Struthio camelus: one gene and its partner. The main gene of each other region encodes a partner of the protein of the gene in region 2 in a complex. Links are inferred from orthologs where the notes say so. Each region holds a gene or a part of one and is shown on either strand. Other genes may lie near its edges. The genes, in order: SEMA7A and PLXNC1.

Region 1 (7,947 bases), on a different chromosome or scaffold from region 2:
CGTTTTCTGCTGGCGGCTGAGGGTCTCACCTAACCTATTTCTTGCTAAGGAAACCAGACAGCTAGGGACGGCGGGGTAAAGCCCCAGAGTAGTTAAGGCCTCCGGCCGCGGGCTCTCCTCCCAGATCGGGAGGCATGCTGGAGAGGGGAGGACGCAGTGGCTGCGCGCTCAAAGGGTGGCTGCAGCAACAGCTTTGGCTCGTGCCGATTTCCTCCTCTCTCCCCAAGGGCTGCAGCCCGGGGAGGGACCCCGGACACACAGACGCACACGTGCTCTTCTCTTCCAGGGAAAACGGGGCTCAGGCCAGTGCCAGGAGGGAATTTCTCTGCTCGTCTCCAGGGCTGTAACGCCTCTAGGTGCCTTTGCAGAGGCTGCCCTGCCTCGTTCTAGCGATGAGCTGTGGCACATAAGAAAATTAATTAGGTGAAGAGCTGCCAGCTCCTGCAGAACCCCGGGCTGAAGCCAGTGCCGCACCATCGCTCGGCACGCCAGCGTGGCAGGAACGCAATGAACTTGGCCTAGGACAACCCCCAGCCCTTCGTGGCGGGCAGAGCACAAAAGGTCCCTCAAGGGGAGTGATGCCTCAAGGCTGGATTTGAACTAGCAACCTTGCAGGCAGCCGGGCTGTCCCAGGGCCAGCCTCCCGCCTGCTCTGGCATTAGCGGCCACGCAGGTGGCCACAGCTAGGAGCCCAGCTGCTGCTCTTCTGTCCAGTTCCCAGCCTCTGGGACCAGGATTCAACCTGGAAACCAAGCCCTGCAACACCATCACCCCACGGCGAGGGTCCAGCCTCTACACAAGATGGACGCAAGCAAGCAGCAACATGCCGACTTGCAAGTTATCTATATTAAAGATACTGTACTTGCCTTTTGCTATGTCTGGAGCATTAGGGAAGGGCTTTCTGCCACCCATCGCATCCCTTCTCCCTCTGTCCTATTTCTTTGCCCTTCTCCAGGGGTACTTCCTCTCCTCCCACCACCACGCGCCATCCTAGTCCACCCTCCTCCTCGTTCGGTGAGGACCCATTTTCTAAAGGACAGAGGTTACATGGAGCAAAACGCAATCTGTTAAATAGGAAGCATGACTGACTCATAACAGAGTACAGCACATATTTGCCTCTACTAATGCCCTAACTGAAATCCCTTTGGGCCTGTGTCCCAGCTACGCTTTAAAAAAAAAAAAAACTAAAAAACAAAAAACCAAAAAACAGAAAGAGAGAGAAACAGAAGAAACAGAGATAAGCATAAGCTGATCCCTTTGCAGGGAACTGTCCTAACACTAATTGGCTTTGGTATTTCTCGGTGGCAGATCCTCACCGCGTTTAATGCCAGGAAAGCCACCATCCGACACAGACGGGTCAAACGGCTACGTTCTGCGCCCGTGCCGAGGCCGAGCGCTCGCAGAAACAGGTGTCATGCAAACCCAACCCCAGGAGCCTGCTCTTCCGCCTCACCACCGCTTTACCCTAGGACAGAGGTTTCCGTCCGTGCCAGATGTACGCAAGTCAACTTTTTTTTTTTTGTTTTTCCCTCTCTCCTAAACACGTCAGGGGAAAAATTCTGCCGAGAAAGGCAGGAGCCCCACGGCCGCGGCTCTGCTCAGTCTCGTGGTGCGTTTTCTCCCCCCGCTTCCGTACCGTTGTCGGAGCAGCAGCCGAGCTGCTTAATTTGCCAGAAGCTAAAGCAAACGACGCAAGGCTACGAGCAACCCGCCGCTGCCCTCTCCCCTTCGGGCGCCCGTCAGGCAGGAACCACCTCCCGGCCACGTGCCCCGAGCCCTTCCCCGCGCTTCTGGCCTTCCCTTCCAGGAGCAACCGGGCTGAAAGAGCTCCTGGCCGAAGAATAACAGATGGCGCTGAATAAACCACTGAAAATTCCCATCCTCTGAAGTTCTCGGCAAATGGAAAACACAGAGGGGCTGTTGTACTGCAGAGCGGCGCGAGATCTACAGCCCGGCTGAGCCGTCGGGTTAGACAAACACCATAACCGCTGGGGACAAGACAAGGTCTTTTGTTAAACCCTCCCTGGAGGGTATTAATCCACGAGCTTGGAAGACACATGATAAAACTAGTGAATTCTCTCTCGAACACCCGTATCTCGGGCTGAGCTCTCGGCAATCGCAGGGTATACACTTCCTCCTTGAAAACTGCTCTTTGTTCTGTTTCCAGTAAGACCGTGGCTGATCACAAGCTCTTTCAGTCATATGTATTTTCATACAGAGATCATCTGCAAATATTTAAGAGCGCAACTCATTTGCAACTAAGAGGGCAAGCACATCAGATTAATAAGAAAATTAACTGTGTCATGCAAATATACTTCTTCATTTCTCCCTGTGAGCTAGAAGAAATGGTTATTGTGCCTGTCCCAGGACAGGGGGGGGGGATCAACAGTTTAATATACCCGGCCTGGGGGAAAAGCGCTTTCAGAATATACAGGGGGAAAGGACTTGTCAAGGCAAGAGATCTAAAAACTCAATTTAAAAGAAAAATCAAGGAGGTTAAAAACCCTTCTGAGACCACAGGCATCTTGGCTCATTTAAAATGAGAGCCAGAAGTCTCCCCAAAGAGACAAAAGAAAGAAAGAAAAAAAAGAAAGGACCCACTCGAAAGACACAAAACGAGGAGAAAACGCATCGCGCGGCAGCAGGGAATCGCTGTCAGCCGCGGGCACGTCTCAAGAGAGCGCTCTGCTTCCCGCGGCCGCTCGCTCGCCGGGACCTACCTCGGGGAGCCGTGATGATCCTGGGGTTCACCTTGGAGCGCCCCGCCACCCACAGACCCAGCTGGCTGGCCCACAGGGCCACCAAGAGGACAACCGGGGTCCTTCTGCCCATTTCTACTTATTCTGGGAGCAGAGATCAGGAGCCTGAGAGCGGCATTTCTTATGAGCGGATGCAACCCAGATCAGCCAATGAGTGCAACGAAGGAGGGACTAAGGGCTTTCTTCTCCAGAAGGGCTGCTGCACATTGCTAACAGCCCAGCAGGGAGAGCTCGCTAATGGGAAACTCCTGGCAGCAAGGCTGCAGCATAGCTCAGGCGCCAGCCTTCTCCCTGCTAGCGCTACAAGAAGATCATAGCAAAGGGCCACTCCTAACAACACAAAAGATTTATCCCAAAACTCATTCGTCATCACAAGTCAAGAACACCACCAGAGACGTGATGAGGACTCAACCGCCGGTGTCCCTCGTCCTCCGTGTCGCCCAACAGCGATCCTAGCCAGACCACTCAAACACGGGTCTCACGTGTGTCATAGGCTTGTGAGCATGAGAGTAAACGAAATTAGAGCATGAATGTATAAAATCTGTTTACGTAGAGGTGTGGTGAATAAATATCCTGTTCCATAAGATCTCACACTGACTTTTGTCATGCTAATGCTCTCTGAAATGACAAGATGCTTAGCAGGGCGCAGCACCCTGGCCCATGGGACTGGCCTGCTACCAGGTCTGTGGTGCGACCTTTGGAAAGTCGCTTCACTTTGCCAGACCTCCATTCCCCATTAGGAGGCCAGCAAGGGCTGACAGTCTTTGTGAAGTGCTGAGAGATTTGTTAATGAGAAGAGCAGGGCATTACGTGCAAGGAAAGCGAGGTCGGACGTGACCGGAATAGGAGAGCCCCACGGAGAACGCACAAGGACATGAGAGATGCAGCTGCACTCTCTTTAAAGTCAGTGCTGAAGCTAGAGCCGAGACTGCTCCGCTCCTGAAGGAGATGAACAGTGGCAGTTCAAGGGGACATTTCGGAGGAAGCAAAATATTAATGAGCCAGCTAATTGTCAGTTTTAAGGACCCAAAGGAATTTCCCACTAACTCTAAGCGTGGGGTTTCTCTCTCTCATCTTAACCAAATAGCCATTTGGGTAATTACAGTATGACAACATACAGATCATCTCTGGTTTTCCACTTTTGGACATGGTGATTCCCAGATTAGCCTCGAAGCGTTCTGCATTACTGTTCACCTTTAAGCAACTGTCCATTTCACCCCAGAGGTTACTGCATTTCTCCACCAGCCCCACTGATCCAGGAGGTACTCAACCCCATTGCCCCTTGCTTTCTTGCAGCACAAGTCAGAAAAGGCTTGCTGGAAAACGCGTGTGCAATTCATTAAGGCTCTTTCACACAGTCAGGAGTGAAAAAGAAACAGGAGGGCACCATTTGCAAATCAACAGCCTAAGCCAAACAACCCACATGTGCTCCTTAATAAACATGACAACTTAACAATTTGCATCCACCAAAATTTGGGCTACGTAAATGGACATTGCATACATTACTACCTGCTTTGTCTTTTATGACCTGATGTGGTTTTTCTTTCATGTGGCTCATATAACTACAATTTTACAGCACTAAGTCACCATCCAAATAGGACTAGCATCACTGGCAGTCTGTACCAGCAAGACCACAGCCAGGCCTGCATCAATGGGAAAGATCAAAGAAAACTGGTGGAGCAGGGACCTTTCTGATGACATTTCATTTAAACCCCAGGATGGACAGAGAAAGGCACAGCCTCAATCCAGCTGAACAGGGCAACTTCACAACTGTGTGATGCTGTAAGAAGACGTGCATACAGCCGACTATTTTTAATCCCTTCCCTGTTCTTTATTGTCAATCCAGTTGAGTCCAAACGTAGAAGACAAACGAGAATAAGTCTGCAAGCATCTGTTTGAAAAGCTCTTTCTCCCTTGAGGACCTGCTGTTCCTCCAGACCTCCCCAGGCCGCCCTTCTTCCCCTTAGGAAACATTCATGGGGAAGATATGAGGATTTTCTATGTTCATGTAATATTTCCGGCCCCGTAACAGCCTGACCAGAACTACTAGATAGGACCATTCGCCAGTGCGTCTGGTAAGACATGACCCATGTGTGTGGACAGACTACCTGGGGAAGGGGGTGCAGGGGCCCTGTGCCTCCCTACAGCATCAGAGGCACTGTGTTCACGTCACAGCCCCACTCATAGATCTGTGCCTGGGAACCACCCAGCCGATCCGGTGGCCGTCTTCCTGCACGCTGGCTCGCAGATCCCCTTCTCAACAAAGTTACCAACTCATAACACAGATGGGTTCTGTTCAGAGAGGAACTAGGAGAGCTTCTGCCCTGTGACAATAGTAAATCCTTTTCTTTCTCCCTTTCTTTGCTGTTAATTGACACACCCTGGTACTCTGTGGGGCTGGCTTTTGGGTTTTTTCCCCATCTACACTTGAAGACAATGCCCCCTATGCATAAAATTCAGCTTCAAATTCTCCCGAGAGTTTAGAAGTGTTCAGCTCTGAGCTGCTTCTAGTTCAACACATCTGATATCACTGTCCTCTGTTTCCTAGGCCACCAGCTGAACCACCCCATGAACAGGACTGTATTGCACCCCTGGACTCATACTGATGCTGTAGGGCTTGCTAAGCAAAAGGCTTAGCAAACAGCTTGCTGGGTATCACTGTGTCGCGTGGCATCTCTGTACTGTATCTCACCTCTTTGCTGGGTAGACCTTCCCCATCACAGGACCCCAAATGATGGTTTCATGCCTGGGGACAGGGGAAGGCTGACAAATCTGTAGGAGAAAAAAGGTCTTGGAGCAAACTAGAGATTGGAGTCCAAGGCCAGTTCCAAACTCAAAGCTGACAGCCCCAGCAGTTGTCCCAGGTCCTTGGCTACAGGAGATCATGCAGTTCAGTACAAAGCTGCTCTGAGATCTCTGCAGAACAATCACCAGCAAAGGAGACTACAGCAGAAGGGAAAAACATGGACCCAAAAAGCTAATTACAACTCTTCAAATGAAGAGTCTTCACTAAAACTGAGCTCTCGCCCAAAAAGTCTTCTGCGCCACCCAGAAGCTATAGCTCCCCTTAGCGTCCCTACTCCTCCCTGCAAGTTGCTTCAGTGCAGCAGCATGATTGCAATCAGCCAGGGTGAGCCTGACAGAGAGACCCCAAGGCACTGCACAGGACTGTGCATCCAGCCCCCTTCATCAACCCAGTTTCTCCTCATTTGCTTGAGGTGACCTACAGTTTGGATAAGATCTGGGAGTCAAGGGACTGCCCACACACACACTGGGCAATGACCTGGGAAAACAGCCACTCCTTGACACCCAGCTGCCCGGAAGGGGCAGGGCACCCTGTGTATGCAGAGGCATATAGCCGCAGAGCGTAATGCTGTGTTATGAGATTTGATCAAGGAGCCAGCTCAGCTTGCAGACTTAGGAGGCAAGGAGTACGGAGCTGATTTCAAGTCTTCTTTATCAGCTTTGTTCCAACCCTATGTCAGCGTGCACAAAGTGCTAGATGTGGAACTGTGCCCTGAATACAGCAACACTCAACCAAAAAATGACTGGGCATTAAGTACACGCACGCATACTTCCCAATAACTCAAAGAGTTTCTGGGAGAGTTTGTTTGCTCAGGACCTCCTCTAAATGACCTCAGTCAGATGTTGTGGTACTGAACAAGGAATGCACAAACAAGAGATCAGATTGCAGGCACGCACATTCTTCTCTTTCAGCCCCTCCTGAAAGCGGAGGTTTCTGTCAGGTTCGCTCAGGGATTAGAATTGCCAAAGTACAAATCAGGTGCAGTTTCATTCAGATTGCACTATTCAGCTGCAAAACGGATAAGAACTCAGCTTCCCCCAAAGTACCTCAAAATCATAAAGCACAGATTTTCCCAACAAGAATGCTCAGTTTTATTTACAAAAGCAGAGAAGATCCCTAGGACATAAACATTCCAGCAGCCTGTAACGAAACCTCCACTGTTTTTACGGGCATCGTTTCAGGCCCGTTAGAGAATGGCAGGTATGTTGGAACACCACTCAAGAGCATAGTAATCATTATCTACTAACCTCCCACCAGACCAGGAACGTGTCAAGAAATACCGACTAGATATTATGGATTTGGACACAGGCGTATTTTCCCTGGAAAATTTCATCATCAACAGAAAGAAGCACAAACATCCCTAAAATTTAAACATTCTTCTCCCTGTGAAAGCCAGGCAAGATCTATTCACTGGTGCGCCAGCTCTTCCAGAAACATGACAAGTGGAGCTTGATCTCTGGCTGTTATCAGCCATGGCAGCTTCAGGAAAGTACCAAAGAGGGACCTTTTGGGGCATAGCATAAAGGACTGAGGATGTTCGCCAGGAAAAAGTTAGCACATCTCAGATGATCAAGGGTCTTGTTAGTACTCTCACATTAGCAAGCGACGCTGTCAACAGCGAGGAGGCAAAACAGTGAGCTGTACACCTCTGCCACATGGCCTGCCAGGAGCTTGAGCACCCCTTGGCGCAGATCCCAAAGGCTTTACACAGAGTAAAGCAAGTGCAACGCACAGCTCTCCCCGTTTCAAAGAAAATTAAAACGAAGAAGCACGTTGCTTTGTTGAGATCGATCTGCCACACAGAGCTGCATACTGATACGTTAACATTGCACAGTGCGTCAGCTCCGTTTTCCTGAGGGCCCAAACGGTGTTGCTCACCTGAAACGCTCGGTGTTTCCCAGCTGCTATGCTCCTCTCTGCTCCCTAGCAGGCCTGGCTTTCAGGGCAGCACTGCCACATGCTGCAAAGCAGCTATGCTTCAGCATATCAGCATTATCAGCTCCATTAGATCCACAAAGTCCTCCTGGTAATGCACAAGTTAAGGTGCAGCCTCCACAATCGGCTCCCCAGTTCCCTGCCATAAATAGGAGCTAGAGTCTAAGTCCATGTTTTCCTCTGAGAAATCAGTGCAAATCCCCTGGTCCCCAGGGAGCCACTTCAAACTATCGTTGAGAAAACCGTCAGAAGAAACTCATAAGCTGGCCAGGCACGTAAGGTAAGCGTAGGCTGCTGAGGAAAGTAAACTCCCGTAAAGATAATCAGTTGACCTTGTAGTGTTAAAATACTTCTAGCGTTGATATCTGTCCCGCCAGGAAGGGAGAGACGTCTAAAAAATGTTATATCTCCTGATACTCCTTCCTATCTTGGCCTCTGGTAGACAAC
Region 2 (8,070 bases):
AGGGAGTATCATTTGCCATGTAATACTGCAAGTCATATTACTGCCCAACTCTCTGATGTCTGCTATCTCAAAAAATACTAAATACCATACTATTGTGAGTAATAAGCTGTATTTATCATTGCAAGAGTATCGTGATTAACTACATCATTATAGTTAGGGACACAATATTAAGCAGTCATTTCAAACATTTTAAATGTTGAGAGTCTTCAGTGTTATGGCCAAATACAGCTGACATTTCCAGGAGGGACAAGCTTTGTAACTTTGGGATAATAGGAGTTTGAGCTAAATCAGACCAATCCTTAAGCAAGAAGAACATTGGCTTTCCATACTGAGACACCTGGGTACAATGGAGATAGGGGATTCAGAAAAACACAGATCGGAACAGAAATATCTGTCATTACCATACCCTATACATTCCGAAAGACTCATCTGGAATTTCTAACATTGGGCTTTGAAATGTATTTATTAAGGATCTGCTGCTCGGAGACATTTCTTTTTTGCTTTTGCAGGCTCAGAAAGCACCTTTGTTTTCCAGGGAAGAAAATCCACGAGTAATTGAAAACAAAGAATACAAATTCAAAATCCAAACTGCATATGTGTATTTTGGGATGAGAGGAGACTTTAACTTCATTCAGTAATTTTGCTACATGACAGCATAGAAATCACGCAGTAAGTTACAAACTGGCATTGCAAATCCAAGGATTTGGTTCTGGCTCTGTTGAAATGAGTAAGTGTTTTGGTATTGGCTTCAGCACAGTTGTTTCACCCACATATGGGGTTCTCGTTCATAATTATGGTCCTTAAACACCAGTAACGGTCTTATGATTCAATCTGTGCATTTCCCTACTGAATTGCATGTGCCCCCTGGTAGCTTTTGTTTGCAAGAAATCTCAAGCACTGAGCTCTGCTAGATTTTGGAAGTCAAGGAGCGATGGCAAATCTACAAGACTTCTTTCAAGGAGTTTACAACAAATTCCTGTCATAACAGAGGAAGAATTGAGGGCTTAAGCTGCAAAGTCTGTGGATGGTGGGGGAGCTGCAAAAGGTCAGAGCTTTCTTTATGAAGGCTTGATCCCCTATAGTCCTCCCTGAGAACTATAGCATTTCAGCATTGTTCCTTTGCTACAGAACTGAAAAGACTTCTGAGGGGTGTGACTTTTAAAAGCATGGAAGGGCCTTGCAAAAGCAGCTTCTTGTCTTGATTCACATTTTTAGCTGTTTTTTTCACTAGTTGCCAAGGCCACAGCAAACCTGGAAGCCTTGCCCACCCTGCCCTCCCCATGCATAGCTGACTCTAAAAGGATGAAGGAGCTGAAGAGACAGTGTTGCAGAAGTGGGCGACCAGGGGATCTCCATGGGATACCACTGCCTTAAAAATGTAACCACCGCAACAGCAAAGAGATCTTGCCAAGGGTTGTCTGCTGTGTATACATGTTTGGGTGGGTTTTGTGAGCCCTCTTGAGCAGGGGCAATCCTGGGACATATGGAAAACACCCGCCACTGCATAAGCGATCATAAATAACTAGTGAGCAACAGGCATAACAATGCACGCAGCCCAGTGCACGGGAGTCACTTTGACGGGCTTTTTTTCACTTCTGATGCAGCTGCAATGACAGGAGATGTGAATGCACAGAACAAGGTAGGAAATGCTTTATGTAGGCTCCACAGAAAATACAGTGAAATATAACTAATCCTTGGCAGCAAAAGGGTGCACGCCCGAGAAGCCTGAGACTCTTGCCTGACCCAGAGCGCTGTCAGGTACCCCCTCCGCCATGCCTTCCCTGGAACATAACTGGGAAGGGGACTACCCATCAGACAGGCTGCAAGGACCCGTTAGGGGGATCAGCTCTTTAGAAAGAGAAAGCCCTAGAGAAAACTTGAGGGCTGACGGAGCCACAGCTGATGCGCAAAGCCTGGCCCAGCTCAGAAGCTCCTGTGAACTTCACGGGCCTTCAGGTCCGTCAGCGGGGGACACCCCATGGAGTTACGCACAAGCAGCGGCAACGACAACAACAGTGACAACCACGGTCTGAAGGGATAAAGCTTAACAAGAGCGGCGCCACGACTTACACAAAGGTTCCCGTCCCCGAGGAAGTGCGTGGACACGCAGGCTTGCTCGCTCATCTCCTCCATCCCGAAGATGCAGACGGCGGTGCTGTTCCAGGCCTTCGCGCTGTGGCTGTGGCGGAAAACACCCACCCACCAGCCCTCCGCTCCCTGGCGGACGAGGCTGGAGGAGACGATGAGGCTCCTGCAGCCGCAGTCCAGATACACCTGGCCTTGCAAAGTAAAGGCACCTTCCGAGGGCCGCAGCTGGCGCAGCACAGCCATGCTCGGCCGCTCCCCATCCTTGCCCAGCGTGGCCCGCAACTTGTAGTAGGGGAAGAAGAGGCGACTCTCCCAGCGGAGCGCGTCCACGAAGTGCAGAGGGTCCTCCTTGTACTTGATGACGGCCAGCTCCTCGCTGGACAGCAGGCTGTCCGTCCGGCGCACCGTGATGGCGGTGGTGGCGTCCGAGCGGGCCGGCTCGCAGCCCAGCCGGGTGTCGGCGTTACCCTCCGAGTAGGTGGCCGCCACCGCCAGGTACCAGGTACCGGCCAGCTCGAAGACCACGCCGGCGGTGGAGCCGCCGGGCAGGCAGCTCACCACCTCGCTGCGGTTGAAGCGCTGCCGGTAGGCCGGGCGCTCCCACACCTGGCAGCTGCCCTCCGCCTGCGTCCAGCCGGCCAGCAGCACGCCGCCGCCCGCCGCCTCCTCGTAGGGCAGCAGCAGCTTGCTGCGCACCCCGGGCGGCTCCGCGCAGCCCTGCGCCGCCGCCGGCGGCACCACGCGGCGCGGCAGCCGCAGCGAGGGCCGCAGCTCGTAGAGGCAGCTGCCGCCCGCCACCAGCACGCCGCCGCGGCTCACCTCGATGTTGTCGATGGCCGCCCCCGGCAGCTCGAAGACCTGCGCAGCGGCCGCGCCGGCGCCCGCCAGCGCCGCCAGCAGCGGCAGCGCCCAGCTGAGGCCGGGCGGCGGCGCCGCCATGGGCGCGGGCTCCGCTCGGCGCCGCGGGGGGTCCCTCAGGCGGCGGCGGCGGCGGCGGGCGGCGGGCGCTGCTGCTGCTGCTGCTGCTGCTGCTGCCGCTGCTGCTGCCGCCCTTGCCGCTGCGCCATGCTGCGCCCCCGGGGCCGCCGCGCTGCTGCCGCCGCTGCCGCCGCTTCCTCCGCCGCGGCCGGCGTGTGTGCGCGGGCGGGGAGTTCCTCTTTCGGGGCGGGGAAGGGAAGGGAAGGGGGGTGCCTGTGCGGGAGCGGTGGGCCGGGCTCCTCCGCCAGGGCCGCCGCGGCCCTGCCCGCCGCCCCCCGCGCACCCCCCGCCCAGCCCCTCGGCGGCGGCGGCGGCGGCCGGGGGCGCCCCTCAGGCGGCGGGACCGGCCGGCCGGGGCGGCCCCCGGCGCGTCGCTGCCCCGCGCCCGCCCTGGCCACCTGAGGCGAGGCGGCCGCCGCGCCTCGCCTCGCCTCGCCGTGGGCCGTCTCACCTCAGGCGGCCGCCACGCCTCTGGTGGGCCGCCGCGGCTCAGGTGGCCGCCGCGCCGCGCCTCGCCCGGCCGCCGTGCCCCCAGTGCGGCCCGTGGTCCCCCCACGGCCCGTCCCCTGCGCCCTGGCCCGCCGCCCCAAGGGACACGGCATCCCCCAGGGACGCGGCGCCCGGGCCCTCGTCCCTCCTGGGTGAAAACGGTGGCCCCCGGCCAGCCTGTTTGGTCCCTGCCTTCAGCGAGCGTGGCCCCCCCCCCCCCCGGCCACGTATCTACCACCGTGCGAAAGGGGAATTGTGATTTTGGAAGTTTGGTGGGGGGATGGTTGGGTGAAGATAGACTGTTGCAGCCCCTCTGGCCTGGTTCGTGGCTGGCTGGAAGGTACTTGTGGGAGGTGGGTCTCTGGTGGACCCTCATGCCGCCTGTCCCCGTACGCGGCGGGGTACGAGCAGGCGCAAGCTTTGAAACTGGGTTATCTATTCAAACGCTCTGCATAACCATCCTGCTAAATTACACCTCACGCACGCACGCCATCGTATTTTTAGTCACTCGCTTTGAAGGATGTCAGGAACAGAAACCAGTTGTAACCCCATCAGTCCCCGTCGCCGTGTGGGGATGGAGTTTGATGTCAGATCTCTGTTTAAAACCCTACAGTCTTCTCTGAGGTAAAACAAAAGAGTCTACGTTTTCTCTTTAGCGATTGCATGACACATGAAAAGCCCTGTTTTCTCCAGCTGTGCTTCCGCAAGATGGACTCTGTTCAAACGTTCGGGGATGGGATTCGGTGTGTTGAATGGCACAACTGATTTACTGTCCTGCTAAGTTATTTCTGGTACAGACTCAACAAAACCGGATGTATATACTGCATGCCCAGCTAACAGTAAATAATTTTTTCTCGCTGGGCTTAAAGTAAAGATGTGATTATGCAAGATAACCAGGAGACATTTTAATGTCCTCTGCTGGGTGTTTCTGGAAACTCTGGGTGAGGATGGGCACAGGGCCCACTGCCAGCTTTACCGAGAAAAGGACATAATATTTGGAACTGAGAGGCTGCTTTTCCTAACACTGACCATCCCTTTACACCACTCTTATCTCTAAGTGGCTTTGCAGTGTGAATAAGTGGAGCTGTAAAAACTAGAACAAAAGTAGTCCCTGTACAAAGGAGTCAAGCCTAATATTTTCAAGTAGGAAGTACAGTGCAGTTAGCAAAATTATCTTATCTTTCTCCATTACTGTACCCAGCAGCAGCTATTGTGCAAGAATTACTTCTGCTCTGGTCAGCAAAAGTATTTTTCCATCTTGCAGCAATCGGGCTAGGACACATACCACTGTCAAATTCAGAACCTCCTGCAACTCGTCTACTTATCTCATGGACAGTCACTCCAAAATGTGTCCAAGATCTGCAAAATGTAGCAGAGGATGTGGAAAGGAATCATTATGCAATTTTTTTTTCTCACCAGATGCACAAGGAGGGAGGCTCTACCTGCTCATGCACGCTGCCTGTAGCTTCCTGCACGCTACTGAACTTTGTCAACCCATAAGCAAAGTAAATCGTCATGCCGATATCACCAACATAGACTGCGTACAAAAACACAGTTTATACAGCATTGCGGAGGAAGCTGAACGTGTCACGCTGGAGTGCATACCTTGACTTCTGGTTGCTTTTCAGTGCAAATGTAAAGTTCTGAGTGATCTGTGTTTTGCCTGCAACCTACGAGGCTGACTGGGAACATGAATGGACAGACGCCCATCTGCAAGACATCTTTGGTACTGACCACAGAGCACGTCTAGCAACAGGTCAGCTTCTGAGGAAGTTGCTCCTCTTGTGAAATCACCAACCTCTGCATTTGTTGGCTTTCAGGACTGGCCAGATTGCTTGTTTCTGTGGGTTTATGTTTGAAATATGCCACGTGCTTCACCTAATGACTAATTTGGTTAAGTGGTGAGGCCAGGCTTATTTTAGTCTTAGAGAACAGCGACATCTCCTAAGGCTGCAGGCTCCTCAGACTGCCGAAACAGCGATGTTCTGCCTCAAATGTTGCTTATTCTAGGACCCTGAAAAGCTAGACTGGTTACAGCCATTAGAAAACGGTCTAGTCATGTGGAGTACCAGGCACTACCAAGGCAAGACAGGAGGCTGCCCTCTTCCTGCCCCCAGAGAGCAGTCAGAGCCCGCTACTCAGTCTCTTCCCTGCCTGCATCGCTTTTCTGTTTCTATTCTTTCCTCCTCTACCCTTTCCGGGGAAGCAATAGCTAGGACCAGGTCCTCATCTTGCAAAAGTTAATTCTGCGTACGCTCCTGAGAGCCACTGAAGCAGCTTTGAACTGAGGATTATTCATGGTTGGCCCAGTTCCTCAAGTGGCAGTGTTCTCAATTCCTTTCCCAGTCCCTGAAATAAATAGTAGTGCACGTGTTCAGTCTATCCCTCCAGAGATACCTGACAGGTTACAAGTAGAATTGAGCTTCCACAGAGAAGTTATGGAAATAGGAAACAAAGTTTCTTCTACAGGTTTCTTTTGTAACTTTGCTGATTTTAATATTTGCTATTAATACAGAAGAGCAGAAAACAGTGCAGTCAATTAATGGTATTCTTATAAAAGTGAAGCATGAAATGACAGACATCTTACTGTATTCTCTTGGTCATCAGTTCCATATTTGGTACTTTTATGCTATAGTTGCATTATGTTTTACTTTTTAGGCACTGTAGAAATGGCAAACAGGAGAGTCTGCCTATTCATGTTGCACGTCACAAAACATTGCTGGCACTCTGACCAAATTACTAATAGAGCCAGGGAACCAAATGCAACTTCCTTCACTTTCTGAAGCAAGCTTTGTTTATTTCAGCGGGGCATATGAGATCTGAATATGAGAATTTGAGCTAGGAGGAGTTTCATTTGAATCCATTTGAACTTGGATTTACCTCTGCGAGTAAAGAGCTCCTTTTTAGATCTTCATCAATATTAGGCAGAACACATCCTGAATTAACTTATGATTGCCTTTCCCACTATTGTTCAGCTACCTACTTCCCTCCTCCTTATTTCTCATTTGCATGCTAAATTTCTCAGCATTTAGGACTCCACAAAGAATCTGGCAAAATATTAGTCAACAAATGAGATTTATTTTTTAAGTGTAATTTATTTCAGATTTAGCTTAACTTTGATATTTTCCCTGTTTTGAAACTCCGAGCCCAATTCACGTTTGGTCTGTTTGTTTATTTAATGTAAACGGTTACCTTAGCTTGGTTCTGACTTGTCTTTTCTCACAGGGTAAATAATCTTCTGTTTACAACGTAATGATAATGATAGGTAGCATTACTGTTAACATGCATTTTATCCTCAGTGCAACACTTGGAATAGCTGCTTTTTTCATTGTACAGATAAGTCAATTTTGTAATGTCACTAAGTCTCGACTAAGTAAAAAGAAAATGCTAGGCATTTTTTCAGGAAGCTATGCTGAGAAAGATTTCCTTCCTTGTCGTGTAAGTGCATTTGAATACTGAAACTCAGTCTGCAGTTTTGGATTGTAGTTTTACTTTTTTGTTTTGTTTTTATACACTGTCTAATCTAAAAGTTAGTGACCCTTCTGCATTCTTTTTTGGAGGTCTTTACCGCCAAAGAAAATGTCCGAGTCAAGAACAGGCTCTTTCGTGAACCTGAAGGGGAAATCCAAATCATTGCAAAAAATGAGCAATTAATTGCAGAAGGTCTGCAAATAGTGTAACTGAGTGGAGAGGACAGTGACCTGAATTCATGCATGTACCATCAAAAAGTCACATATTTACTATGTTAAAAAGTCACATATTACTATATTAAAATATTCATAATACTTTCTATATGGGGGATTTAAGGGAGAGAAAGAGAAAGAGGGAAAGAAGAAAAGGAAAGAAGGAATGAAAAGAAAAAGAAAAACAGAAAAAAGGAAGGAAAGAAAGAAGAAAGCAAAAAAAAAGAAAGATGGAGGAAGGAGGAAGAAAGAAAAGAGAGAAAGAAAAAGGAAAGAAGAAAGAAAGAAAAGAAAGAAGGAAGGAGAGAAGGAAAAGAAAGAAGAATTTTTCAGCCTATCTCCAAATATAAATACTATAAAATTTTGGATAAGAAGTCAGGACACTATGATTGTTTATCTAAAACACATTTTTTCAATCACATTATGTTTCCTTTCTTTTCAAATATGATAGTTTCCAATATAGTTGCAAGGGTACAGAGAAAGAATTAAAAGGTACACATGAAGGAAAAATATGGTTCTGCACAGCAAATGTTCATAGTCTAAAGCAAAGTAACACTGAGACGGTTGTTTTTACGTCAAGCAGGAAATCTAGGTTCTTCAACAATTGGTGCCACAACCTTCCTGTATAATGCTGGACAAGACACATCCCTCTTTGCATCCCATACTTGTCTCTTCTGTTCATGAGAGGAATAAGACTATTTACCTTTTAAGGAAGCTGTGTAGATCAACATCAGTAAAGGTATTATACATATGTGAAATAAAATGACAGGATTACAGGAAGGTACACCTGAAATACAAATAACATCACAAGTCAAAATAACTTAAAATAATG

The links.
Region 1: the proteins of PLXNC1 (region 2) and SEMA7A are in contact, whole or in part, in a crystal structure (PDB 3NVQ), measured with the Homo sapiens proteins. The link is inferred for Struthio camelus from reciprocal best matches to the Homo sapiens genes PLXNC1 and SEMA7A. Residues at the interface, in NP_005752.1 of Homo sapiens: Arg131, Thr151, Glu152, Val153, Asn195, Pro196, Ala197, Ala198, Ser199, Asp200, His201, Thr203, Ala206, Lys208, Arg213, Ser214, Leu215, Ala216, Thr217, Gln218, Glu219, Leu220, Arg222, Lys224, Glu272, Ala350, Ser352, His353; in NP_003603.1 of Homo sapiens: Gln194, Tyr196, Asn197, Gly198, Lys199, Arg202, Arg204, Tyr213, Ser215, Asp216, Thr217, Gln270, Gly271, Gly272, Glu273, Ser274, Ser275, Leu276, Val278, Ser279, Lys280, Pro372, Thr375, Glu376, Phe378, Gln379, Asp382, Arg383.

Annotation. Positions count from the first base shown.
Region 1 is NC_090953.1:23,590,294-23,598,240, reverse strand, and holds the start of SEMA7A (semaphorin-7A), read right to left. Parts: upstream 3,106-7,947; 5' UTR 2,833-3,105; coding exon 2,721-2,832; intron 1-2,720. UniProt on the Homo sapiens protein: Plays an important role in integrin-mediated signaling and functions both in regulating cell migration and immune responses.
Region 2 is NC_090942.1:51,555,102-51,563,171, reverse strand, and holds the start of PLXNC1 (plexin-C1), read right to left. Parts: upstream 3,067-8,070; 5' UTR 3,028-3,066; coding exon 2,071-3,027; intron 1-2,070.